Cricetulus griseus: one gene and its partners. The protein of the gene in region 3 binds, or shares a complex with, the protein of the main gene of each other region. Links are inferred from orthologs where the notes say so. Each region holds a gene or a part of one and is shown on either strand. Other genes may lie near its edges. The genes, in order: Usp39, Crnkl1, Snrpd1, Lsm5, pre-mRNA-processing factor 6, Bud13 and Rbmx2.

Region 1 (2,229 bases), on a different chromosome or scaffold from region 3:
TCCTCTTGCCTCTGTTTCCTGAGTGCTGGGACTAAAGGTGTGTGCCACTACCACCTGGCCCACTTCGAGGTTTTTAGCAGCCAGCTTCATGTACTTTCTACAGGGTTTGTCTAATTTAGCATTTCTGACAGGAAAAAAAAAAAAACATTTGAGACTGGAAGGACTTCTCTTTTTCCTCTTGAGAGGCCACATAAATTCCCCTTTAAAAGTATAGAAGAGGGTCTTGGGGATTTAGCTCAAGTGATAGGGTGTCCAGCTTGTACAAAACCTTAGGTTTGATTCCAGACACTGAATGAATTGGGTGTGGTGCCATACACCTGTAATGCCAGCACTCTTGAGGTAGAAGCAGGAGAATCAGAAGTTCAAGGCCTTCCTTGATTAAAGAGAAAGTGTGATGTTAGACTGGGCTTTGTGGGGGACATCCCTACACACAAGGAGCGAGGGGGGGAGAGAGAAAGAGGAGAAAGGGCAAAGAAGAAAGCAGATTGTTTGGGACTTATTTTATTTCAAAGACTCCTTGACAGGAATTGAGGTTGCCAGAACTATTCACTCGGTCTAGCCAAGGTTATGGCTCTTGTTGATATTTAGTAGCCATCTGATACTTGTGACTCTCGCTGTGAAGTCTTTATACCTCTGGTTTTGGAGAGCAGGTTAACCGAACCCTTGTCTTTGTGCAGGGCACCGGCAAGTGGTATGAATTACAAGACCTTCAGGTGACTGACATCCTGCCCCAGATGATCACATTGTCCGAGGCATACATTCAGGTGGGTGTGGGCCAAGGTAGGAAGTGGGATTGATGTAGTCTTGCTCACAGGCCTGGGTGCTTCAAGAGTGTGAGGGGACCAGATTATGTGGCCCCAGAAGGCAATCAGATTATCAGAAAGGAAAAGTATAGAAGCCTGTCAGTCAGCAAGTGAGCAAAGTGTGTTTGTGACCTTGTGAGTTTAGCAGAGATCTGTAACTCTAGTCCCAGCAGATCTAAAGCTGTCTTTTGACCTTTGTGCACACCAGGCATGCACATGGTACATACATACATATGTGCAGGCAAAACACATTAAATAATAAATAAATCTGAAAAAGAATTTTAAAAAAGGAATGGAAGAAAAGTTGAGGGTAAGTGGAAAAATGTAAATGAATGAAAGGGAATATTCTGGAAGAGTATGCATCATTTTCGGTGAATGCAGCACGTGTACCAGTGGGGTGGCGTGCTCTCTGCTTCCTGACAAAGAATAGTTACTTGACTGACTGACTGAAGAGCTCACTGTTTCCATTTCTGACAGATTTGGAAGAGGCGGGATAATGATGAAACCAACCAGCAGGGGGCTTGAATGCCAAGGGAGTTGGCTGAAGATGTTAAATACAGATACTGGACTGACTGGAAGATTCCTGCCCCAGCCCAGTTTTTATTGGTCTGGCTGCATCACCATCAAAGATCCTGTCTGCCCTGGTGTCCTGTGCTGTCTCCAGATGTTCTCTGATCAGCACATTACAAATGATACTCCTTCCTTTCAGCATCAGCAGGCAGAGCTCCTACAGATGGATACCTTCTTGAATTGTTGCAAGTATCAAAGAGCAGATAATTCCTTGGAAACATCGTCTTGAGATTCTAGGAATAAACATGAAGCTAACAGCATCCTTCTGTCTATCATAGGTAGATGGTTTTCCTATAGTTCCTTTCTCTCCCATGGGACTTTTGGAATGGATTAAATATCCTCCTGTTTTTAAGCCAGCCTCTTGTTTTATGTACCTCATTTAGACTTGCTAAGAGGTTTATTTTCCTTTTTAACTTGTAGACTATCTGCCCTGCAGTCTGTCGTCTTGTAGGCACCTTTCTTGTCTCTTCCTGTCAGCTTGTAGGTGGTTTGTCATTTGGAGTACATTTGTCTCTAAGTAACAAACTATTTTGCTAAAAATGATAAATTGTTGTGCCTAACTAGAAGGCTAAAAGCAGGTGATTTCAGACTGTAGTGCTGCTTTGGAGGGCTGAGAAATGAAAGGACTAGAAAGAGCAAGTCTCAGCCAGACTGATTTGGAGCCCAAAGTAGAGGGTGAATGGCCAGGGAATTGGGCCACTCATTGATTCAATAGCCTTGAGGATTTGAGCCTTGGCAGGAGCACTGAAACAGGCCTTAGATGTGGGAAAGCAGCCCTGCCACAGGAGGCAGGTGATTACAGCAGCATCTCTTTGAACCTGTTTCTTCCCCCCCTTCTTTTATCTCCCTCCCTCCT
Region 2 (3,500 bases), on a different chromosome or scaffold from region 3:
TTGGAGATGAGCATATGGACGAACACCTGTATGTGGCCTTTGCTAAATTTGAGGAAAATCAGAAAGAAGTAAGTGTACATTGAGTTCATTTCTGTTTTATTTTATTCACTTATCCATAGAAAAATGTTTTCTAGATACAGAAACCTAACTTCGTGCATGTATTGACGAGCTATAGATTGGAGCTGAGTGATTATATATGGTAACTGCCTTAATTTGTTGAAGGAAAGGAGGACTGGAGAGGAACCAAGGCAGACTTGTGGGGCTTTGGGTGTTGAGCAGGTATGCCATGGCGGTGTTGCCTGCCAGCCTGGGAAGGATCCAGGATGGGTGAGGAGAAAATAGAAGCACAATTTTGAGACAGCATTAAATATGGAACTGAAAATAAGCATTAGTCCTTTCTGATCAAGGCCTCAAAATTTAATTTATAAGTAATAGGTTGCAGTTATTCTCAAGGTGTGACTAAAATGAGATTGTTTTGGATGATAATCTTCCTATCTGCTTTTAGTTTGAAAGGGTACGAGTTATCTACAAATATGCCCTAGATAGAATTTCAAAACAAGAGGCCCAAGAGCTCTTTAAAAACTATACCATCTTTGAGAAGAAGTTTGGTGACCGGAGGGGTATTGAAGACATCATCGTGAGCAAGCGAAGATTCCAGTATGAAGAAGAAGTGAAGGTGGGTGCTGCTGTAGATGGCTATGTTGTCAGTGCTCTCACATAATACTGAGTTGAGCCGGCGTTGGTGGTGCACGCCTTTAATCCCAGCACTCGGGAGGCAGAGGCAGGCGGATCTCTGTGAGTTCGAGGCCAGCCTGGTCTCCAGAGCGAGTGCCAGGATAGGCTCCAAAGCTACACAGAGAAACCCTGTCTCAAAAAACCAAAAAAAAAAAAAAAAAAAAAAAAAAAAAAAAAGGCAGGAGTTCCTATGTAAGCAGCCAAAACCTTGATTTTTTTACTATCACCCTGGCTCTGATGTCATTCCCTTGTGGAAAGTCCTTTTACTGATAGCAAACTGAAGAAATGTGAATGAACTGAACAAATGGGCAGGATGGATGGGGTCCTACTTGTAATCCCATCTCTTGGGAGACAGCGGCAGAAAAAATTGTTAAACCTTGAGGCTAACATAGGTTTCATATTGAATCTGTGCCTCAAAAGCTATGTGTCATCTATTTGAACTCATTTTTGGAAAAGAATGTAAGGGTCAAAGACGGACCCGTACACACACCTGCTTTGCAAGAGCAAGTGATCTACAATAGACAGTTCTGTTCTCATCTCCATAATACGTCATTTCAGGGTTAGATAGCAATATTTTCTCTCTGGGTTCTTGTGGCTTTTGCTTAGTCAGATTGAAGTAGCTCCTAACAAAGGGCCAAGTCTGGTGTTAAATGAAGTGGTAGGTCAGTAAGATGTGTTCAGGATAAATTATTGTTATTTGAAAAGGTGTTTCCTGGTTGAGAGTCTGATATAAACCCATTGTAATTTCATTATCAACATAATGGTAAATAGTCACATGTGTAAAAAAATAACATTTATACAAGCTGGAAGCTGTATATAGTGGCTCAAGCCTGTAGTCCCAGGACTGGCCAAGGCAAGATAATATAAGTTCAAGTCCAGCCTAGGCTATGGAGTGAGACCCTGTCTCAGAAAAAGAAAAAAGAAAAAAAAAAATGGAATGTCATTACCCAGTAGTAGAGGAAAGAGGCTTTACTGAGAGGTACCAGCCAGTGTCCTCTTACAGTCCTATACAATCTCAGGGATGCTGTTCTAAAAATGAGATAACAGGTAAAAACTAAAGAAAAAAAATGCTAAAGTACAGCAAGTTCTGACAGCCTGTCAAGTCTAGCTCTTGGTTCTGATTTTATAGGTTAAGCTGTTTTTTTTCTAGGCTAATCCACACAATTACGATGCATGGTTTGATTACCTGCGCTTGGTGGAAAGTGATGCAGAAGCTGACACTGTGCGGGAAGTCTATGAGAGAGCCATTGCCAATGTGCCGCCCATCCCAGAGAAGAGGCACTGGAAGCGCTACATCTATCTCTGGATCAACTATGCACTCTATGAAGAGCTGGAAGCCAAGGTGAACTGTGCACTGGCCACTAATGGCTTTCTTACCCCAGTGTCATGGCTGTGGATAGTAACTGATAGTTAAAACCTTTGAGGTAAACTTAGTTTTAAATTCTTTTAGGACTCTGTCCACCCACGTACATCATTTAAACTGTGTGCCTGTTGAGCCATGATGTTGTTTTGTTTTAAAAACCTCAAGGCACAATTAGATAGCATTTAAAACTTGAAAGGGAAACAATGATCAATGAAGCAGTTTAATTACATACAGTTTCCTAGTAATGTGTTTTTTTTTACAAAGAAGGATAATGGCCAGATTGTACATTTTTGCTTTTGATAAAAATCTAATGGCAAAAGAAAAAAAGAAAAAAAATCTAGTGGCATTTTCAGAAATAGATTATGTGTAAGTTAACAGGTAAAGACTACCCTCTGTCAATCTGAGACTGTAACATCTTTCTTTATGCTGTCAGGCCTTTATACAAAGACAATTCAGACTTTGATGGCCATATTGTTATTCTTATACCAAAGTTTGATAATCAAAGGTAGTTGCTATTTTCGATCATAAATGAAATCCAGATGTAAAAATAGCATCCTGAGAAGTGGGGGTGGTGTCTGTTTCTACTAGTAGTCATGAAATTAACTAGTAAAATAAGTATTAACATTTTTTTTAAATTATTTTAATCTTAATACAGGATCCTGATAGGACAAGACAGGTCTATCAAGCGTCTTTGGAACTAATCCCTCACAAAAAGGTACACTTGCTAGAACAAAATCCCGTTTTTATTACTTGTCAAATAATATGTGTCAGTTGAAAAATTTCAAGATCAGAAAAAGTACAAGTTTTTGCCAAAGGAAACACCTTACTACCTAGTTCATAGAGCAGCCCGTATTGTGATAAGCAGTGCAGACACTGTGTCGAAATCCGGGGGGCGAGGAGGGGGGGTGTAAGTAATTCAGAGAGGCAGATTGGAAGAAAGAAAACAGAGCATGTACCTAAGAGACTCCAAATGGGTCTTTTGATAATAGTGCATGCTTGCGTGTGTTGAATATGTGGCTTCTTTGGAGATGTTAAAATGTTGTTCTACCTCATTTCCCAACAAGAGAAACAGAGTTCTGTTGTAGAAGTGGTGAGTTGTTCTTAGAAATAGGATGTTCTACCAACTTGCAGTCCACAAAACATTCTCAGTAGAGGCTGCCATGCCATGAAGGATATCATACAGTTAGTTCTGTCTAGGTCATGGGTGTATGTGTGTCTGTAAATTTTTTTACATTTTTATTGGGGGGGGGGTTGGCTGTGCATTTGTCATAGTATACATGTGGAGGTCAGAAGACAACTTGGGGAGTTGGTTCTGTCTACCATGTGGGTCCTGGAGATTAAACACAAAGGTCAAGCCTGACAGCTGGTACTGTCATTCACTGAGCCCTTTCACCAGCCTCAT
Region 3 (4,038 bases):
GTTCTGACTTCCTAGTCTGTAATTCACAATACCACAATTACATGCAGTGAAATAATTCTACAGCATCACCCATGCTTTATTTTAGCCAAATGGCCATGGAAAGATAATCCTACAATAGCATCTAACAACACTTCATATTCAGATTTTCTAGTCTATCTTTCTACAATATCCTTTGTAAACTACTACAGCAAACTGCACAAGTAATATTATCTGTTCCATTCTCACCACTATTCTACTATGAAGGAAAGCAGCAGGCCCTTTCTATAGGTGACACTGGACTACAACAAACACTCAGGGGATGGAGAGGTGGCTCAGAGGTTAAGAGCACTGGTTGCTTTTCCAGAGGTTCTGAGTTCAATTTCCAGCAACCACATGGTGGCTCACAATCATCTATAATGGGATCTGGTGCCTTCTTCTGACCTGCGGTTGGGAGTACACCGTGCACATAATAATAATAATAATAATAATAATAATAATAATAATAATAATAATAATAATAATAATAAAAAACCACCAGACAGGTCCAGCGTTTCAGCAACTTTTAAAGGAACCCACCTTAAAAAATTATGTTGCCGGGGGCTGGAGAGATGGCTCAGCAGTTAAGAGCACTGACTGTTCTTCCAGAGGTTCTGAGTTCAATTCCCAGCAACCACATGGTGGCTCACAACCACCTTGAATGAGATCTGGTGCCTCTGCTGGCATTCGGGCAGAAGACTGTATACATAATAAATAAATAAAAATCTTTAAAAAAAATTATATTGCCAAGTATGGGGGTGAAGATCTTTAATCCAGCACTCAGGAAGCAGAAATTCTTTCAGAAACAAGGGAGTGGGTGAGGAGATAACAGTCTGCTAAAAAAAATTCCCTTAAGACATGTAGGCACCGATCTGTAATCTCAGTTATTCAGTAGGCTGCAGTAGGATGATCCCAAATCTGAAGTCAGCCTGGGATATGGAGTGACTTCTAGACAACCTGGTGACATCCTGTCTCAATTTTTCAGTGAATCCTTCATTTTGTGAATTCTCTTACTTATTATTACCATTGCTGTTGTTGTTTGAGAAGTTTCTCTGTGTAGCCCTGGCTGGGTTCATATCAGTAACAGAGTGAGCACTTGCCTAGGACGCTAGCTGGAAGTCGAGGTAACACCCCAGGTACCACCACCCAAAAGCAAAGCTGTCGTAACAGAATCTTTAAATGGGAAAAACCTAAGTTACTGCAAACACATGATAGTTCACATCAGGCAGCAGGGAAACAGCAAGAGTATACTTTAAATTGTGAGACTTTCTACCTAATGTTACAGTCCAAATACAAAAGAACTGGAGCTATAGTCAAAGGTAGAGCGATTATTGGAAGCTCTCTAGGCGCTATCCCCAGAACAGGTGGAATTTTTTTTTTAACCTTATATGCTTTCTCTTCCAACTCCCCCTGAACAGAGTGTTTGTCATTTCAAACAGACCAGATGTTACCTGTTCTGCCTTCAGCATTAAACAGAAAAGAAAGAAATCTTGTAGCCCGACGGTGATGGGTCATGCCTTTAATCCCAACACTCCGGAGACAGAGGCAGTGTTATGATAAATGTTCGTGGGGGACCTTTGTGGATTCCATGGCAGGCAAGGATGACCCAGTCGAAAGGACATCATGCCAGGCAGTAGGACTTAAGTGAGAAGATTATTAGAAAAAAAGGGGGGTTAGAGACACAGAGACAGAGAGAGGACAGGAAAGACAAGAAAAGTCCTGTCTGCCCCAGGGGAACAGCAGGAAAGAGAGAGAGGGAAAAAAAAAAGCGGGTAAGAGAGCATAAGTGGACAGAGACCTTTCTTTTAAAGGGATGCTTTGCATCTGGGCTGACCAGGGTACTACTGTGTGAGTGCAGGGGCAGGCCAGCATAATGACTGAATCCTTTTCAGGCAGGCCTCTGAGTTCGAGGCCAGCATGGCGAGGTGCAGGACAGCCAGGGCTGTTACACAGAGAAACCTTGTCTCGAAAAACCACAAAGAAAAATCTCGTACCACTACTTTTAACAGGTGACTATAAGCAGTCCTTGACTCAACAAGAAACTAAATATTTCTAACTGGCTTAGGCATTAAACCCTGTTTCGGGCTCTGCCTAATGCCTATTTGGTTTGGAAGTATTCATACCAGCAAACAAAGCTCCACTAACCGACACAATCTGCAATCAGGCGAAATTAACTTAACTTCTGCCCCATCCTGGGACACTGTCGTGAGTCGAAAGCCAACATTAACCAGTTACATACAACCGATCCAAAATAAAGGAGAACTTTATCTAAAACGTCTAGCAGATCGGCGTCGTTGTTTGCAGATAAAACCATGCTGCTTTGGAGTTCTCGTCCGTGCAAGCAGCCCGACTGGCCAGGGAAAGCGGCCTCGGCTCCGTTCAAGCCGCAGGAAACGAGGCGAGCAGAAACCGCTCGGCTCCCCCATTCTTGGAAGACGCGCAGGGCCGGGGCGCGCCGGCTCCTCGCCGGCAGCAACGAGAAGGGCGCGGCGGGCCCGGACGCGGGGGCCGTTAGCAGGCCGCGCGCACGCGGCTTTCCCGCCTCCCTGAGGGCGCAGAGGCCCGGCTTCCTGAGCCCGCCCAAACCCTGTCCCCGCCGCCTTCGGCCCGCCCGGAGAGCCTCCTCACCTCACGAGCTTCATCCTAGCGGCGCAGCCTCCCTCTGGTCCTACTGGACACGGAATTCGAGCTCCAAAGACTCACCGACTAGGCGTATGAATGGCCGGAAGAGCGCACGGAGGCCTGCGGATCCGCGGTGGAAACGCGGAAGCCGCGCTGCCTTCCGGCCACCGGGACAACCACAGCGGCCCCTAGCGACGGGAGGAGTGCTTTGCGCCGTCTGAGCGCGGCGTGGCTGGTGGAAGACATCTGCAGGAGGATTCACCTTAAAACTATTTATAATGGCCTGGCGCTTTCACAGTTGGAAGGAAGAGAAGATCTGAGAGAACCCCTCCAAGACTTCTTTAATCCTTGGGGCCCACATGTTGGAAGCAGAGAACCGGCCCGACAAGTTTCTCCTAGTTGGTTTGACAACTAAGCTGAGCCAATCAGATTTTTGTATATAATAGTTTTCCTTTGGGGACTTGTAATAACCCCAGAGCTACTGAGAACCTTTTTAAAAACAGGAAAGCCATTCTCAGGACAGTTTTAAATAAGACCTTCATTATATAGTAAGTTCTTCGACTTAAAAAGTTATGTGGATATTTCAAATGAAGTTAAATAAAACAATTCAACTCCTTATTTGCAATAACCACATCGTAACTACTCAAAATCTATATGTATCATTGATTACAGTGCAGATAATTTCCACTATCCCAAGAAGATTGGATAATATTAGTTTATTATATTTGATTCTTACATGGAGCATGAATTCTAATTGTTCTTAATAAAGCCTCAGACTCGGCTGACAGGGGGTAAAAACTGAAGGGTCAGAGAAGCAGAACAGCCAGCCACTAGAGTTCTTACCTCTACCAATGTTCAGACCAAAGGGGCCATCCTGTCCTCAGACTGACTGCCTCCTCAGACTCCTGTCTCCTCCGGCTTCTCTCTGCCCAGCCACACCACTCCTGTCTCTACCTCCCTAGTGCTGGGATTAAAGTATTGGGATTAAATGTGTGAGCCACCACCATCTGGCTCTTTTTTCTCTTTTAAACTGGATCAATCTTATGTATCCCGGGGTATCCCAGATCTCACAGAGCTATGCTTGCCTCTGCCTCCTGAGTGCTGGGATTAAAGATGTGTGCCATCACTGCCTGGCATCTGTGGCTAACTAGTGTGGCCAGCTCTGCACTCTGATCTGCAGGCAAGCTTTGTTAGATCACAAACAAAATATCACCACACTTACAATTATTTATTTACTTATACTGAACTCAGGAGAACATAGTGTCTGAAAGCAAAAAAAAAAAAAATCTGTTTATTGCACTCTCCAACATCCGGTATCTCCAGTCTTATGCTTTAATATGATGTGCTCCTCCTCCCCCTCCCCCCTCTTCCTCCTCCTCCTCCTCTTCTTCTTCTTCCTCT
Region 4 (4,075 bases), on a different chromosome or scaffold from region 3:
AGTAGGTACACGAGATTTATGGAATGGGGTTTGTGGGGAAAAGCCACCACTGGCTTGAAATTGAGAATGGAGTGGAGTTTCCAAGGATCCCTAGAGGCATTGCTTTATCTATTAAACTTCATAGTGCTATATACATACAATTTATTTGTCCTTCTTCTCACTCACTCTTGTAGAAGACTTTTCTGTACATTGCTTTATATACCCAGCGAGCTGCTAATTAAACGGTGTATGAGGGGTGCTTACCAAACACTGTAAAAATGAATGGTGTTGATTATGATCTCTCCTATTCAGATTGTTTAAGTCCCTCAGACACAAATGAGACAACCGAAGCTAAAGAATTTGCCTGCTGCTTTTTTTTCTTTTTAAGTAGGGACAACCCAGGTCTCATGAAGTCATGAATGCTAGGAAAGCACTCTAGTGCTAAGCAAGGTGGTTAAGCTCTCATTAGTTTTTATTTCCTATTTCGTGTCAGGGTCTTACTAAGTTGTCCATGCTTGGCAACTGTGGCCTCCTTCTGTTTCTTAAGCGCTGGGATTGCTGGCCACTCCTCACAGCAGCTTTTTATCTTTTTCCAAAACACAAGTGTGATAGCATGTTTTCCAAATGTGATGACACCAACATACGGAGTGACATCTAGCAGTTACCTGTAAATCAATAAGTGTTAGTAACTGCAAAAGCCTGCAATAAACTAGACTTCTAAAAGGACAAGAAGAAGCCGGGCATTGGTGGTGCACGCCTTTAATCCCAACATTGGGGAGGCAGAGGCAGGCGGATCTCTGTGAGTTCGAAGCCAGTCTGGTCTCCAGAGCGAGTTCCAGGACAGTCCCCAAAACAATACAGAGAAACCCTGCCTCGAAAAACCAGAATAAAATAAAGTAGCAAAAATTAAAAAAAACCTTTGAATACTCGGTATAGAATATTTTTAAAAGATGCTTCGTAAGGGTTTTCAGTACTCTAGGCTTAAAAGTACAGGATTCCTTAAGAAAATGAGTAGTAGTTGAGACAAACGCAGAACGAGTTGGTGATAGCAAATCCTCATTGATTTTATGGCTCTGAAGAAAGATCCAACCTTTTAGAGGAAAACTAGCCGACTCAGAGATCTCGTATGTTGTAGTCTTCAGGCAGATATAGAGGAGACAAACTGTCAAGTTAGCAAAACTTCGGGGGCACGGGATGGTGGCACCGATATAGTGCGGAACTATTCTATCGAGTCTGTCGGTGATCCATTTGGATACCCCGCGATCGCCAGATCTGCCTCCGATTAGTTCCGTCTGAGCCAGTTGTGGGAAAGGGCGGAAGCGCGCTCTTTTAAAGTCTGCGCCCGTAGCCCTATGCCACTTCCGGCGTGGCCATGGCGGCTAACGCGACCACCAACCCGTCTCAGCTCCTGCCGCTAGGTAAAAGTCTCGCCCGGGGCGCGGGCGGGTTGCTGCGGCCCCACGCCCGCGCCGGAGGCTTGCCCCTGGGGCCGCTGCGGAGACCGAGCCCGTTGTCTGTCGGCGGCCGGCGGGGGCCCCACTTGGTGAAGGACGCCCTCGGCCTTGCTTGTGAGCTCGCCGGTTAAGATGTCCCGGTGCCGGCCCAGCTCGCAGTGTGGCCTTTCCGGTCTACACCTTAGGGAGCCCCTGTATTGCATTTGGCGGTGTGAGGAGGGCGCCACGGTCTACAGTGACTCCTAGAAAGAAATCTGGAGACTAGCTCCGTCATTCGTTCGTTCATTCATTCATTCATCCATCCATCAAGCAGTTCCCTCCCCGTGCCAGGGTACTGTTGAATAACGAATTTAAACTACGGCCATTGCTTTCAGATAGCACACTGAAAGACTTCGTGCCGAGCAGTTCTCGGTTGGCCACGGAGATGCTCAGGTTGGTCTCCAAGCACAGAGCTAAAGGCAAGATGAGAGAAGTGACAGGAAGCTGGTGTCGGTCGTGAGGCCTCTCCTCTGTCATGTTTTGGCGCCGGTGAAGTTAGTCAATGTGGCAATGATGGAAAGTTCTTGCAGGGTCCACTCCAGGGTATGTTCATCGGCAGAAACACTGATGAGGAAAAACTAACATGGTTTCCACCTTGTGGTGTAATTGTTTTTCATACATTAACCAAATAGTCAAAATCACAGTCCCGTTAGTTGCAGCAAAAAAGGAGGTAAGCGAAGGCCAAGACAAACATTTGTGCTAATGGCTGAGCGGAGATTTGTGTAAGATGTAGTTATTTAGTGACTGCTTTTTGTTTCTCTTTAATGATACGGAAATAGTAAAGTGAGCACTCGAATGCTTGTTGAACTAATAAGTGGGTAAAACAATCTTTTTCTTTCCACAGAGCTCGTGGACAAGTGTATAGGATCAAGAATTCACATTGTGATGAAGAGTGATAAAGAAATTGTTGGTACACTTCTAGGATTTGATGACTTTGTCAGTATCCTTTTAAAAAGTGTTCATGGAACAGGTTTTTAAAGATGTATTAATATAAGAGCTGTAGACAGATGACATATTTCTGTTTATTACATTAAAAATTATTTATTTTCCAGGAACTTGGTAACATTTTAAGAGGTGTGCTTGCAGAAAGCAGATAGGGTTCTCTCCAACAACAAACCTTTTGAATTTGCACCATTGTGTTGAACATTTTTGCAACCAAACAAAAACATAAACCAGAATAAATTCAACCTTGTTTATTTTCTTAACAACAAATTTCAGATATGGTGTTGGAAGATGTCACAGAGTTGTGAGTAGTATTAAAAATGACAAATAAATGGGGGAGGAGAGGAGGAAATATCTTTTTGAATTAAAGGCAGGTACCCTAGTTCCTTTTCTGTTACTGTGAAGAGACAGCATGGCCAAGGCAGTTTATAAAAGAGAGCGTTTACTGCGTGGGCTTGCTTACAGTTTCAGAGGGTTAGAGTCCACGTTTTTTCATGGTGAGGTGTGTGGAGGCAGGCAGGCAGGCAGGCAGGTGTGGGGCTGGAGCAATAGCTAAGTGATTCTATGTTGAGATAACCATGAGACAAACAGAGAGCCAACTGGTTATAATTTATTCTTTTGAAACCTCAAAGCCCACCGCCACAGTGACACACCTCAGACAAGGCCACTCCTCCTAGCCATTCCCAAACAGTTCTGTCAACGTGAGCCCGTGGAGGCCATTTTCATTTAAACTACAATAGCAGGATTAGTATGATGGATAAAGTATTACCTGTTGGAATTCTTTTAATGCTGACTTATTTACCGGTATTTGTGAGGTTGGGCCAGAAGATTATTATCTTAATGTCATTATTCCTGAATTTCTAAGAAATTAGTGTAAACACGCTTTATAGTGACTTTACATTTACTTCTATATTATATCTTTGTAATATATCTTTATATTTACTTCTGTATTTATGAAGTTTTATATTTACATAACTATTATCTGGTGGGCAGACTGTATTGCTGAAAATTATTGTAATTGTATGAGTTCACATTCATTCATATGTAAGAATAACAGTTTTGATGCTAGGGATTGAACCTAGGGCCTTGTGCTCTGCCACCCAGGTGGTGCTCTGCCACCGAGCTAACCTCTTTACCCCAGGAATAATTTTTAGAGAGGAAAAGCGTTTCCAAAATAATTGCCTTTGAATACTTGTTTATCCTGACTCCATTTTTTATCTATTTAGTGAAATTACACCAGAAGGAAGAAGGATTACAAAATTAGATCAGATTTTACTAAATGGAAATAATATAACGATGGTAAGACATTAAAGCTGTTTTATTTTGAATTTAATTACTTTTATAGGGCAGGGATTACAGAACACTGCTGCTTAGCTCAGTGTTCACGGTCTAGACATGCTGAGGATGGGAAGGGAGCCTTCAGTGATCAGTGCCCCAACGCAGCTATTGAAAGAGCATTGGGCCTTAAGATTCATTTGCTTATTAATCTTTATTACCTTTAGTTCATCAGGAACCATTGTTGAAACTCTTAAGCATCAATTAATGTTGGGATTACTAGCAGATGTTGATGATCTGGGAAATGGGAATTGAAGGATAGGGGAGAGACAGTGGTGGCTTTGGTCCATGAGGAGCACATGGGGAGTTTTAGGTGGTATGATAGT
Region 5 (3,500 bases), on a different chromosome or scaffold from region 3:
GTTTTGTTTGGGGGAGGGGGTTATGGGTGCCAGGGACCTTAATCTTTATCAATGAATCCAGGGTGTCCTCTGTGCTTCAAGATAAAAGGGCCTTCATTGTCACCAGACTGCCATGTTATCACTGCCCCCAGGATACATGGCTGTAAAAGGCTTTGCTGTTTAAACAATGCTTTGCTTTATAGAGTCCTCTTCAGTAGTTGATTTTAGATTCTTTATGGGAAAGAAAGATTTCCCTACACTCTCCCCATCGTAAAATCTCGTAAATCATTAATAGTACCGAACTTTGGAGTGGTAGCTGTCTTTTCAGCATCTAGATGGCTGTGTGCTCTGATTTATGGCCCTGACCCTAGTGACTATGGCCTTTCTCTTGCAGGGAGTCTCTGGAAGCACTCCTGCAGAGGGCTGTGGCCCACTGCCCCAAGGCAGAGGTGCTGTGGCTCATGGGTGCCAAATCCAAGTGGCTGGCAGGGGATGTGCCTGCAGCAAGGAGCATCTTGGCCCTGGCCTTCCAGGTAGGTAAAGGATGCCTGTATTGGAAGGGGCCATGAACACAAACTCAGTGTTAGTGCTACTGTGGCCTTAGAGCTTACCTTGTGCATATTCTTTGGGATATGTCATGATCTAGTCTAGAGACACTGGATTGTGTGGGTGGCCTTGTCTATGAGGCCTAAGCATGAGGAACATTGCAACCAGCCACACTGGCCTCAGTTCCCTTCTATTTCATATGACTATAGGCCAGGTACTCCAGAGTACAAGACCACAATGTAAGCTGCCTGGGTGCTTAATGCCTTTGTGAGAGTGCTGTCCTACTAAAACAGATATACTTACTGGCCTAATGAGGCCTAGCTGTTACGATACATACAATGTTACTAAAACAGATATACTTACTGGCCTGCTGAGGCCTAGCTGTTACAATACATGCAATGTTACTAAAACAGATACACTTACTGGCCTAATGAGGCTTAGCTGTTACAATACATACAATGTTACTAAAACAGATAGACTTACTGGCCTAATGAGGCCTAGCTGTTACAATACATACAATGTGTGTGTGTATAAGCTAGAGGTCAACCTAGAGTGTCTTCCTATATCACTGTCTACTTTTTTTTTTTTTCCTCCTAGACAGGGCTTTTCTGTGTCTTGGCTATCTGTATCTCATTCTGTAAACTGTCTGATCTCGAACTCCCTCTGCCTCTGCCTCTGCCTCCTGAGTGCAGGGCTGCCTAACACACCCTGAGGGGTTTTTTTGTTTTTGTTTTTTTGGGTTTGTTTTTTGTTGTTGTTGTTGTTGTTTTGGGGACAAGATCTTTCAATGAACCTGGAGCTTACAGCTTTGGTTCACCTGGTTACCAATTAGTCTTTAGAATTCATCTGACTACACCCTCTAGTACTGGGGTTACAGATGTGCATTGCCATGCCTGGCTTTTATGTGGGTGTCCAGTAAGCACTTTACACACTAAGCCATCTCCTTAACCTACATGTAACATTTAAATTTTTTTACAACAAAAAATGATCCTAATATTTTTTTAGAAGCATGTGCTATCCTCCTGTGTCTGTGTCTTTTTTTAAAAGATTTTATTTATTTATTATATATACAACATTCCGATTCCATGTATATCTGCACATCAGAAGAGGGCACCAGATCTCATAAGGGATGGTTGTCAGCCACCATGTGGTTGCTGGGAATTGAACCAGTCTAGTATCATAGCCCAGGGCAACAGTAAAGTTTGTCTGTTGTAAATAAGCACCAGAAGAGCTAACTTGCGTCAGTACAGCTGTTATCCGAAGAGACTATAGGAATAGGTGATAGTGCTGTGCCAGATAAGTGATGTCCTTTCTACATACAGTTTTCTCCTCAAGTTGTGTGCTAGAATTTTAAGGTGGTTCACTTTTACCATAACCATAGACACCATGGCCATGTTGCAGAAGTCTTTAAGGAGGGTAGGTACACATTATGAGGCACTACTTTTATGTCCCCTGGACTCTTAAGTTTGTATAGCTTGGTCCATGCCTGTGGGAACCCTTTACACTTCATTATCTCACCTTGATCTACCCTGACCACATGGGCTACCTGAGGGGAAGGGATGAAGTTAGATGTAGCAGATTCTGATGCAAAGATGTGAGTGAGCCAATCATAGTTTTGAAAGGCCGTGCAGAATTTAGATGCATCCTAGAGAGGGTGGCTCTACAATACTAGTATTGTTGCTTCATCTCTGTACAAGAGTAAAAGAGAGAGAGAGAGAGAGAGAGAGAGAGAGAGAGTGTGTGTGTGTGTGTGTGTGTGTGTGTGTGTGTGTGTGTGTTTCCCCCCCAAGCTGAGATCTACATTTCCTAGCTTGTGCAGAAGCATACTAGTCCTGTATCAGAGTGAGGTTCAGTTCACTTCTCAGACTGCCTGTTCTTAATTAAGTGTGGTCTAGCCCTGGTCACTTTTGTTTTGAGCCTTTTTGATGCAGCTGTGCTTATTCTCCAGGCCAACCCCAACAGTGAAGAGATTTGGCTGGCGGCTGTAAAGCTGGAGTCCGAGAACAATGAATACGAGCGAGCCCGGAGGCTGCTGGCCAAGGCACGGAGCAGCGCACCCACTGCCCGTGTGAGTGGTGGCTGGTGGGTGGGGCAGTATTGGCAGAGTGCCTCTTGGCTCATACATGGCATTGGGAAGGAGTGAGATGAGTAGGACAGCTCATGCCACAGCCCAATCGTGTTATTGGGCTTTAAAATGCATTTCTTTAGCTGGGCGGTGGTGGCTTATACCTTAAATTCCAGCACTTGGGAGGCAGGGGCAGGTGAATCTCTGTGAGTTCAAGTCCAGCCTGGTATACAGGGCAACATAGAGAAACTGTCTTGAAAAACCAAAAAAAAAAAAAAAAAAAAAAAAAAGGCATTCCTTTATTTATCTATACCTCTTGTATATACAAAAGAGCTACATACAACAACTTATGAGGTACAGGACAGATGTGTGTGAACGATGTCTATGATGTCATGTGTGTGATATGAAGGTAGTTAGCATCCAGATAGATGGTAGAAGTAACAACTCTGGTGTGATGGTGCTTGTCTGCTTTACAGGTATTCATGAAATCTGTGAAGCTGGAGTGGGTGTTGGGGAACATCACTGCTGCCCAGGAGTTATGTGAGGAGGCTCTGAGGCACTATGAAGACTTCCCCAAGCTGTGGATGATGAAGGGGCAGATTGAGGAGCAGGGGGAACTGATGGAGAAGGCCCGAGAGGCCTATAATCAAGGGGTGAGCCTCTATTAAGATGTCTTAGGGGCCAGGAGATGGTAGAGCACACCTTTAATCCCAGCACTCAGGAGGCAGAGGCAGGCACATCTCTGTGAGTTCTAGTCCAGCCTGCTCTACAAAGTGAGTTGCAGTGCAGCTGGAGCTACACAGAGAAACCCTGTCTTAGTGGGGTGGAGGGGGAAAGATGTCTCAAGGAATAGCATGACATTGGTCAATTTCCCATGCTTTTGAAAGAAGTGGAGGGCCAGTGGTCTGTG
Region 6 (4,298 bases), on a different chromosome or scaffold from region 3:
ACACTGGCTGTCCTACTGTATCACTCCCCACCTTTAATCCTGACACTCAGGCAGAGGCAGGCAGAGTTTCAGGCCAGCCAGGGCTATACAGAGAACCCCTGTCACAAAACAAACCCAATCTGGATAACCTCGTGCACTGTATTTGGCTGGCCTCTTCTAGAAAAGTCAGAATTCGGGAGTATGAGAATGAGTTTGCTCCTATATTCCTCTAAACTTATCACCTATAAAGAGGCTAATAAAACTGAAGGCTTGGCCGTGTTGGTATATAGTCCAGCTACTTGGGATGCTGAGGCAGAAGGATAACAAACTCAAGATCATCCTGGGCAACTTAGCAAGGTCATGTCTCCAAAATTCAGAAAGGGGTGGGGGAAGTAGTTCTGCTACAGAACTCTTCCTTATCATGTGCAAGGCCCTGGGTTCAATCCCCAGTGCTTGATGGAAGAAGAAACAGAATTGTGGGGGTCAAGTGAAGATTCACCAAACACTTAACCCCCTATAAGAAATAGAATCTTCCTGGCTTTCTTTTCTTTGCCACATTGACAACAATTCCTTGTCATTTTTATTGGGAAGATTGTATACCATTTTCTTGAGAGATAATACCAAACGTGGAAAGGTCAATACAGGTTTGATGAGACCAATCCACTTTTCAGTCACAATATTGGGGGTGGGATTTGTTTGACTTCCCCTAAATGGCACTGTTCCAGTATACTGTCTACCAAAAGGTATTTATACCAATAAAAATAACCGAAATAGTTCTACTGGTGGTTTATTGTGGGCAAAAGAGCTGGGGGTCATCAGTAGGTACACCAGCTGGGTCAATCCAGCTGTCTTCCCACACCTGATCGTGGTACTTCCTGGTTCTTCGTTTATAAGGTCACCTCCACCAAGTACATACAATTATTTATAAAGAGCTCCTCATCTCCTTGGTGCCCTAACTCTTAATGGGCTTGGGAGTCCTCTTCCTCCTGCTCTGGGTTGGCATCTACCTATGAGTCCTCAAGGGTATCCACCAGGCAGCTTCACCAAGTCCCTGCTTTTGTAAATTCTTTCTTCTTTCTTCTTCTTCTTCTTCTTCTTCTTCTTCTTCTTCTTCTTCTTCTTCTTCTTCTTCTTCTTCTTCTTCTTCTTCTTCTTCTTCTTCAATAATGATAATAATAACTGAAATAAACTAATTGTGCTAGGCATTTGGCACAACATCCGTTATTAAAATGCTATTCAATAACTTGCCCCCAGTGGCACAGTTACGATCGGTCTCGTATTCAAATAGGTGCTCTGATCTCCTGAGTTTCGGTTCTTCCCTACTCCGGTGCAGTCGTCAGGGCAGGACTAGTTAAGTCGGCCTGTGACCTCTTTGCTGGAACAGTCCCGGCTGAGAGCGTTGCACGGATGTGTCGTCACAGGAAAGCAGAACGGCCCTACGATGCATTCATGCACCTCCCCTTCCCCACACCGAGCCTGTAAAGACATTTTTTAAGAGTCATGACACCTATCAGCCCCAGTAGCTCCATAAGGGCCACTCCTAGGGCTTCCGTTTCTGGCTCCACCCCCATCCGTTTCCCGTAGAAGAATTTTTGTCCCCAACGCCGAGCCGTTGCCCCGCCCTCGCCGCTGCCATGGCGGCAGCTCTGCCGCTCTCCAAGGCTGAGTATCTGAAGCGTTACTTGTCTGGAGCAGATGCTGGCCCGGAAGGAGGTCCAGAGTCGGTTCGGAAGCGGCGCAGAAAACGGCCGAAGCCAGGAGGCGCCGGTGGCAAGGGGTGAGTGGACTGATGGGGCATCGCGCTGCCCCTTTGCGCCCTCGGCCGCAGCTCTTCCTCCTCCCCGCCCGCGCGGCGCTGCGAGCGCTGCCGACCCAGGCCCGGCCCCGCTGCTCCCGAGCCGGCTCTTCGCCGCCGCCTGCAGCTCAGACCTCGTCCTCTGAGCAGTGTCTTCCATGCGTTAAGGCCAGCTAGAACTTAGAACTTCCTTACTGTTTTCCCGCCTTTGTAGCCTTGTATCGTCCCTCGAACAGATTGAAAAGTCGTGCCCTGAGAGTAGTAGAACTAATTAAAAGCCCCAGTGATTGCGGTTTTTTTTTTTTAATGTTAGAATTCAAAAATCTGTTTCTGGGGCCTTCAAAGTATTAGGAACTGATCTGGAACCAAAGATCTAAGTCCTGTTATTCTTGCCTACTACTAACAGTAACAACTAATATGGGTACAGTTCCTATCATGTGCCTGGCCTCTTTCTAAAAACTTTGACCATATAACTTTCAGGACATTGTGGTGAAGTAGACATTGTTTTAAATAATATACTTTCCAGGTTCGAAAGAGGGATGTGCTGAGACAGATTTCGGATGCAGTGACTTGGCCACTGGAATCTGGAAAGGTTGGGATAGGAGATCCAACATCAGCCCACAGGACAAAAGAAATTATAGACTTTAGAGCAGCGACCCTAAGTTTAGCAGCTTGCTAAGAAGGTACTATTTTGGATACAAGGTCGAAACTCTGGAAGCTAATCCCGTTCTTATACACCATGCCTTGGGTCTGCTGCTTGCTAAGAGCTTAGCAGCTTAGAGAATATAAAGTGTGGTTCACACCCCTCTATGGGGGAACCATCGTGAGCTGACAGTATTATTCTCATATTTCTACTGAGAAAATTCTGTGGCCCATTGAAGTGGGTAGACTAATTCCCTAATTCCCTCTTTGCCCAAATTTACCTTCATTTGGGACTTCAGCATGACATCAATCTTTGTGGTGTTACTAGTTGAGCCTATATTCAGTTAAGGTATGTGGTAAATTCAGTGTGGTTCTTTTTTTTTTTTTTTTTTTTTAATTTTTCGAGACAGGGTTTCTCTGTGGCTTTTGGAGGCTGTCCTGGAACTAGCTCTTGTAGACCAGACTGGCCTCGAACTCACAGAGATCTGCCTGCCTCTGCCTCTGGAGTGCTGGGATTAAAGGTGTGTACCACCAACGCCCAGCTCAGTGTGGTTCTAAGAAGGAGCAATGCCATTCAGGGAACATGGTTTAAGCTTTGGAACAGCACTAACTGGAATCTGAATCCTAGCAGTGCTACTTTATAGCCTGGGTCATCTTGGGCAAGAGAGTTCACCTCTCTGAGACTCGGAGTCCTAGTGGTCCTGAACACTGCTGTTTGTCTGAAATGGCTGTTGTGATTAAAGATGTAGCATGTGTTCCTGGTTTTTCAAATACCTCTTTGCAGCACAGATCACATCCATTGGATGCCATCATCTTTCAGCAGTTGGTACACTGGTTACTCAAGTCCACAGGTACTTAAGTTCCTCCACACAATGATACAGTATTTGTGGGTAAACTATTCATATCCTCTTTAAATTGTCTCTAGGCTACTTACAAAACCCATTGCAACTTAGGTGGTGTACTGGCTGGATTTGTGTGTCAACTTGACATAAGCTAGAGTCATCAGAGGAAGGAGCCTCAACTGAGGAAATGCCTCCATGAGATCCAGCAGTTAGGCATTTTCTCATTTAGTGATCAATGTGGGAGGGCCCAGCCCATTGTGGGTGGTACCATCTCTGGGCTGGTGGTCCTGGTTCTATAAAAAGCAGGCTGAGCAAGCCATGGGGAACAAGCCAGTAAGTCGCACCCATCATGGTCTCTGCATTAGCTCCTGCCTCCAGGATCCTGCCTGTTTGAGTTCCTTCACTGATGAACAGCAATGTGGAAGTGTAAGCCACTTGGGAGGCAGAGGCAGGTGGATCTCTGAGTCCAAGGCCATCCTGGTCTATGGAGCAAGTTCCGGGATAGCCAGGGCTGTTATATAGAGAAAACCTGTCTTCAAAAACCAAAACCAAAAAACAAAAAGGTGGACAGTGATGGAGTGAACTGACAGTAGGAGTCCATATACACAAAGACTGAGCCATACTTTTGAACTTTAAAAGCCAAAAGGTGAGATGGCCCAATGCTTGCCAACGAGCCTGACAGGCTGAGTTCAATCCTCTGAACCCACATGGTGGAGGGAAACAACTGACTCCTGCAAGTTGTCCTCTGACTTCTATATGTATTCTATGACACACACACACACACACACCCCGTCACACATACACACACGATAAATAAATGCCAAAAAACAATAGGTAAGTGTACATAGGCCTGTGTCCCAGAATGAGTTCTTTTTTGAGGCTTTTATTGTTCTCATCTAGAATGCGGATTGTTGATGATGATGTGGGCTGGGCAGCTATTTCTACCACTAAGCCGGAAAAGGAAGAGGAAGAAGATGGAGATTTGCCTGTGGTATGTTATCTTTTGGAGTCTTGTCAGGACTTTGAAATGATCCAAGCAT
Region 7 (3,322 bases), on a different chromosome or scaffold from region 3:
TAACAAGAAAACATGTCCTAGAAAAGCATGAGGGCCAGAAACATGAAATCTAAAGCTGCTGTTTCAACAAAGGCAAAATAAGACCAAGGAAACAAAATGCTTTTGCTATGGTGGTATTGAATCAAGGGTCTCATAGAGAAGCATCTCTCACTGAGGATATTCCAAGTTTTACTTCCTTTTTTCTTGAGCTCTCATACCTTTCTCTACTCCTGTCAAACAGGACCTTTCTGTTCCAACTGAGTATTGGACTATAAGCTAGAGTTTCAAAGGTGAACAACAAAATGAAGCCTGTGTTTTATAAACAGTCTATTTTCAAATAGATACACTTCTCTCCAGGTAATAACATCTGAACCCTGAATTTCAATTTTACTGTTCCATTTCTAGAGTACATTTTTATGTGTACCTTTAAGCCTGAGAAGCTTTTGTCTATTTATCATTTTGATAAAAAAAATTTAAAAAGCAATTTTCCTTTGATGGTGACTTCTTCTGAAGACTACTCCTTTAAAATTTCAGAATGGCTTATTTTTATAGAATTAGTCACCAGATTTTAACTAAAGAATGTCCAGGAGCCAATATGTGAAGTCACTGGAATCATATGCTAGATATACATGGCTCTGTCTTAGCTCACAAAGCCATGATGAAGCCCCTGGTTCCCTAGCACAGCACAATATCCAAGAGCAGTGTTTCTAGTTTCTAATCCACTAGAACAGATGGAAAATGTGTATAAGAAAAACATCCCCCAGATAAGGGGGCACAGTACCCATGTTTCTGGAATGACAATTTGCTAACACATACGGAAAAGGAATAAGTCCTGGCAGATGCATAAGCCAGAAAATCGTTTCCTGGAATCATTGCCTATCCAGTGTGTCTAGGCACCTCTACAACCCCCACAATACATCCAGCTGACCAGTACTATTCCTACACCTGTAAACAGGAGACAAAAAAAAAAAAGAATGCCGCCTAACCCATACACAGGAAAAATCCAGTCAAATCCTGCATAGTAAGCAGTTACCTTAATTCCATTGAAATTGTCAACAGCCAGAACTGTGCTCCTCTGATCTTCGTAGCACAGGAAACAGAATCCCTTGGACTTGCCCGTCTTCTTGTCTCTCACAAGATTAATGTTGACAATCTCCCCATATCTGTTTAGTTTATAAAATGTATTATTCATTTAAAATGCAAACATTTTCATACTGAATGATCAATTCAAATAATCAGTATAGGAGAAATAGAACAAGATGATACAGCAGGTTGAAAACAGCCTAGTTTATATTTCGATTTTCAGGTCAGCCAGGGCTACAAAAAAGAAACAGAAACTTATTGGAGATTTTTAAGTTTAAAACAAAGCTTAAAGGAATAAGACCAGATGAATTAATATCAAATAACATAAAAGAAACAGAAATAAAAATAATTGCCAATAATCCACTAATGTCAGACTAGGAAACATATAGGTATTTTTGAAGTATATAACAAGATAAATTATTTTCAAGAATTCATAAAACAAATTAGATTCACTATTGGTAAGATCTCAAAATAAATATCAATAAGCACTAAAGTTTCTGGGGAAAAAAGACAGCTCAGAAGTTAAGAGCACCTCTGCTCTTGCAGAAAAAACAAATTTAGTTTCCAGCATTCAAGCCAGGTGTCTCACAACCTTTGTGTCTCTGGGGAAATCTGATGCCTCTGGATTGATTCTACAAGCATGAGTATGTACATGCACATACACACACACACACACACTCACACACAGACACAGAACTAAAAACAAATCTTTTTGAGGATCAATTAAAAATAAACTCTAAAAATCTACAGTATATACTCACCAATCAGTGTGATAAAACTAGAAATAATATTTTAAACAAATATTTAAATAATATTTTAAACAAAGCTTGCTACTGAAGCTAGAGAGATGACTCAATGTTTAAGGGCACTGTTTTGCTCTTCTAAAGGACCCAGGTTCACTTCCTAGCACCTACTTGGAGGCTCACAACCATCAGTAACTCCAATTCCAAAGCATCTGGCGTCCTCTTCTGTGCCTGGGCACTCATGTGGTACTGACAAACATACAAGCAAAATACCCATACAATAACATTTTTTTAAATATTTTTATAAAAACCTGCAGCTAACCAGAACTTGAAACCTATTCTCTTAGCTAATAGATGGATGAAAGAAAAATGAAACAAAATTTAAAAGGTCAATGGTATATCACTTAGCAACTAACAACAAATTTTAAAATGCCATGAAAATTTATAGGATGCAGCTAAGCCTCACTACTCAGGAAAATCTGTAACCTTGAAGAATTTGATTCTTTTAAAAGCATAAATATGAAATAAAACAAACCTAATAAACACAGACTTTAATAAAGATCAAATTGAATTTGAATTGAATACAAAAATTGAATACAAAAATAGTCTGCCTTACTTCTTTTAAAACCAATTCCAAATAAAGCTTTATAAGAGTCAGAAAATAAAACTATAATTGATACATAAGTTATATGAGTACATATAAATTATATGGTTACACATATACACACCAACCCCAAATCTAGTATCAAAATGCAAAAAGGTTAATGTGCTTCAAATAAGGTTGAGAACAATTTGACAATATATTGGAGGCATAGATAATGCAGTTAGATAAAACTAATATAAGAAATGAAAAAGTAAAAGTATCTGCAGATTATATACAAGAGTGTATATAGAAAATTGAACAGCATCAATGATAGACAATGACAAAAATAAACAGCATAACAATTCAGTAAAGTAACAAGACAGAAAGGTACAGGACAGCCAGGGCTGGACAGAAAAACCCTATATCAAAAAGGGAAAAAAAGGATTTGGGTAAATAGGCATTTCAGTGAGAGTGGATATTAGTAAAACCATTTCAGGGAACAATCCAGCAATGCTGATAAAAACCAGGCTAAATCTGTGTCTGTTTGGCCCAAGTTTTCAGTGCTCTGACCTAATCCTACAATGCCACACAGATAGGGCCCAGAGGGCCCTGTCATCATGGATGACCTCTAATTTATAGGAACCCAAATAGAGAGGTCAACACTGCACTTTCCTGGGAATTCCAGTTTGTTCTAATGCAAGTCCATGCTGAACAAGGTTCAGGAAAAACTTGACAGAAATGAACTAGGCTCCTTCAGAAAGCCTCTCAAATGATCTAAGCTCTGGGATCTCCCACATGCTAATGTTCTGAAACCTTATCTAGCCTGGGACTGATCAAAGCTCTAGCCTTCACCACACAGGGATGTCATTCAGACTGGAATTAAACTGGCTTTGGTGGCTTTTTGAGACAGGGTCTCACTCTGTAGTGCAGACTG

The links.
Region 1: Snrpd1 (region 3) and Usp39 share a complex: the UniProt entries of both Homo sapiens proteins name them as parts of the U4/U6-U5 tri-snRNP complex. The link is inferred for Cricetulus griseus from reciprocal best matches to the Homo sapiens genes SNRPD1 and USP39.
Region 2: Snrpd1 (region 3) and Crnkl1 share a complex: the UniProt entries of both Homo sapiens proteins name them as parts of the minor spliceosome. The link is inferred for Cricetulus griseus from reciprocal best matches to the Homo sapiens genes SNRPD1 and CRNKL1.
Region 4: Snrpd1 (region 3) and Lsm5 share a complex: the UniProt entries of both Homo sapiens proteins name them as parts of the U4/U6-U5 tri-snRNP complex. The link is inferred for Cricetulus griseus from reciprocal best matches to the Homo sapiens genes SNRPD1 and LSM5.
Region 5: Snrpd1 (region 3) and pre-mRNA-processing factor 6 share a complex: the UniProt entries of both Homo sapiens proteins name them as parts of the U4/U6-U5 tri-snRNP complex. The link is inferred for Cricetulus griseus from reciprocal best matches to the Homo sapiens genes SNRPD1 and PRPF6.
Region 6: Snrpd1 (region 3) and Bud13 share a complex: the UniProt entries of both Homo sapiens proteins name them as parts of the minor spliceosome. The link is inferred for Cricetulus griseus from reciprocal best matches to the Homo sapiens genes SNRPD1 and BUD13.
Region 7: Snrpd1 (region 3) and Rbmx2 share a complex: the UniProt entries of both Homo sapiens proteins name them as parts of the minor spliceosome. The link is inferred for Cricetulus griseus from reciprocal best matches to the Homo sapiens genes SNRPD1 and RBMX2.

Annotation. Positions count from the first base shown.
Region 1 is NC_048601.1:64,050,706-64,052,934, reverse strand, and holds the end of Usp39 (U4/U6.U5 tri-snRNP-associated protein 2), read left to right. Parts: intron 1-677; coding exon 678-764; intron 765-1,280; coding exon 1,281-1,328; 3' UTR 1,329-1,729; downstream 1,730-2,229.
Region 2 is NC_048599.1:33,089,296-33,092,795, forward strand, and holds part of Crnkl1 (crooked neck-like protein 1), read left to right. Parts: coding exon 1-68; intron 69-505; coding exon 506-676; intron 677-1,885; coding exon 1,886-2,077; intron 2,078-2,753; coding exon 2,754-2,813; intron 2,814-3,500. UniProt on the Homo sapiens protein: Involved in pre-mRNA splicing process. As a component of the minor spliceosome, involved in the splicing of U12-type introns in pre-mRNAs.
Region 3 is NC_048595.1:225,869,094-225,873,131, forward strand, and holds the start of Snrpd1 (small nuclear ribonucleoprotein Sm D1), read right to left. Parts: upstream 2,801-4,038; 5' UTR 2,658-2,800; coding exon 2,644-2,657; intron 1-2,643. UniProt on the Homo sapiens protein: Plays a role in pre-mRNA splicing as a core component of the spliceosomal U1, U2, U4 and U5 small nuclear ribonucleoproteins (snRNPs), the building blocks of the spliceosome.
Region 4 is NC_048601.1:84,604,514-84,608,588, forward strand, and holds the start of Lsm5 (U6 snRNA-associated Sm-like protein LSm5), read left to right. Parts: upstream 1-1,275; 5' UTR 1,276-1,351; coding exon 1,352-1,397; intron 1,398-2,316; coding exon 2,317-2,412; intron 2,413-2,690; coding exon 2,691-2,718; intron 2,719-3,640; coding exon 3,641-3,713; intron 3,714-4,075. UniProt on the Homo sapiens protein: Plays a role in pre-mRNA splicing as component of the U4/U6-U5 tri-snRNP complex that is involved in spliceosome assembly, and as component of the precatalytic spliceosome (spliceosome B complex).
Region 5 is NC_048599.1:257,795-261,294, reverse strand, and holds part of pre-mRNA-processing factor 6, read left to right. Parts: intron 1-373; coding exon 374-512; intron 513-2,473; coding exon 2,474-2,593; intron 2,594-3,066; coding exon 3,067-3,243; intron 3,244-3,500. UniProt on the Homo sapiens protein: Involved in pre-mRNA splicing as component of the U4/U6-U5 tri-snRNP complex, one of the building blocks of the spliceosome.
Region 6 is NC_048597.1:158,020,970-158,025,267, forward strand, and holds the start of Bud13 (BUD13 homolog), read left to right. Parts: upstream 1-1,498; 5' UTR 1,499-1,613; coding exon 1,614-1,756; intron 1,757-4,158; coding exon 4,159-4,249; intron 4,250-4,298. UniProt on the Homo sapiens protein: Involved in pre-mRNA splicing as component of the activated spliceosome. As a component of the minor spliceosome, involved in the splicing of U12-type introns in pre-mRNAs.
Region 7 is NC_048604.1:20,788,813-20,792,134, forward strand, and holds part of Rbmx2 (RNA-binding motif protein, X-linked 2), read right to left. Parts: intron 1,143-3,322; coding exon 1,013-1,142; intron 1-1,012. UniProt on the Homo sapiens protein: Involved in pre-mRNA splicing as component of the activated spliceosome. As a component of the minor spliceosome, involved in the splicing of U12-type introns in pre-mRNAs.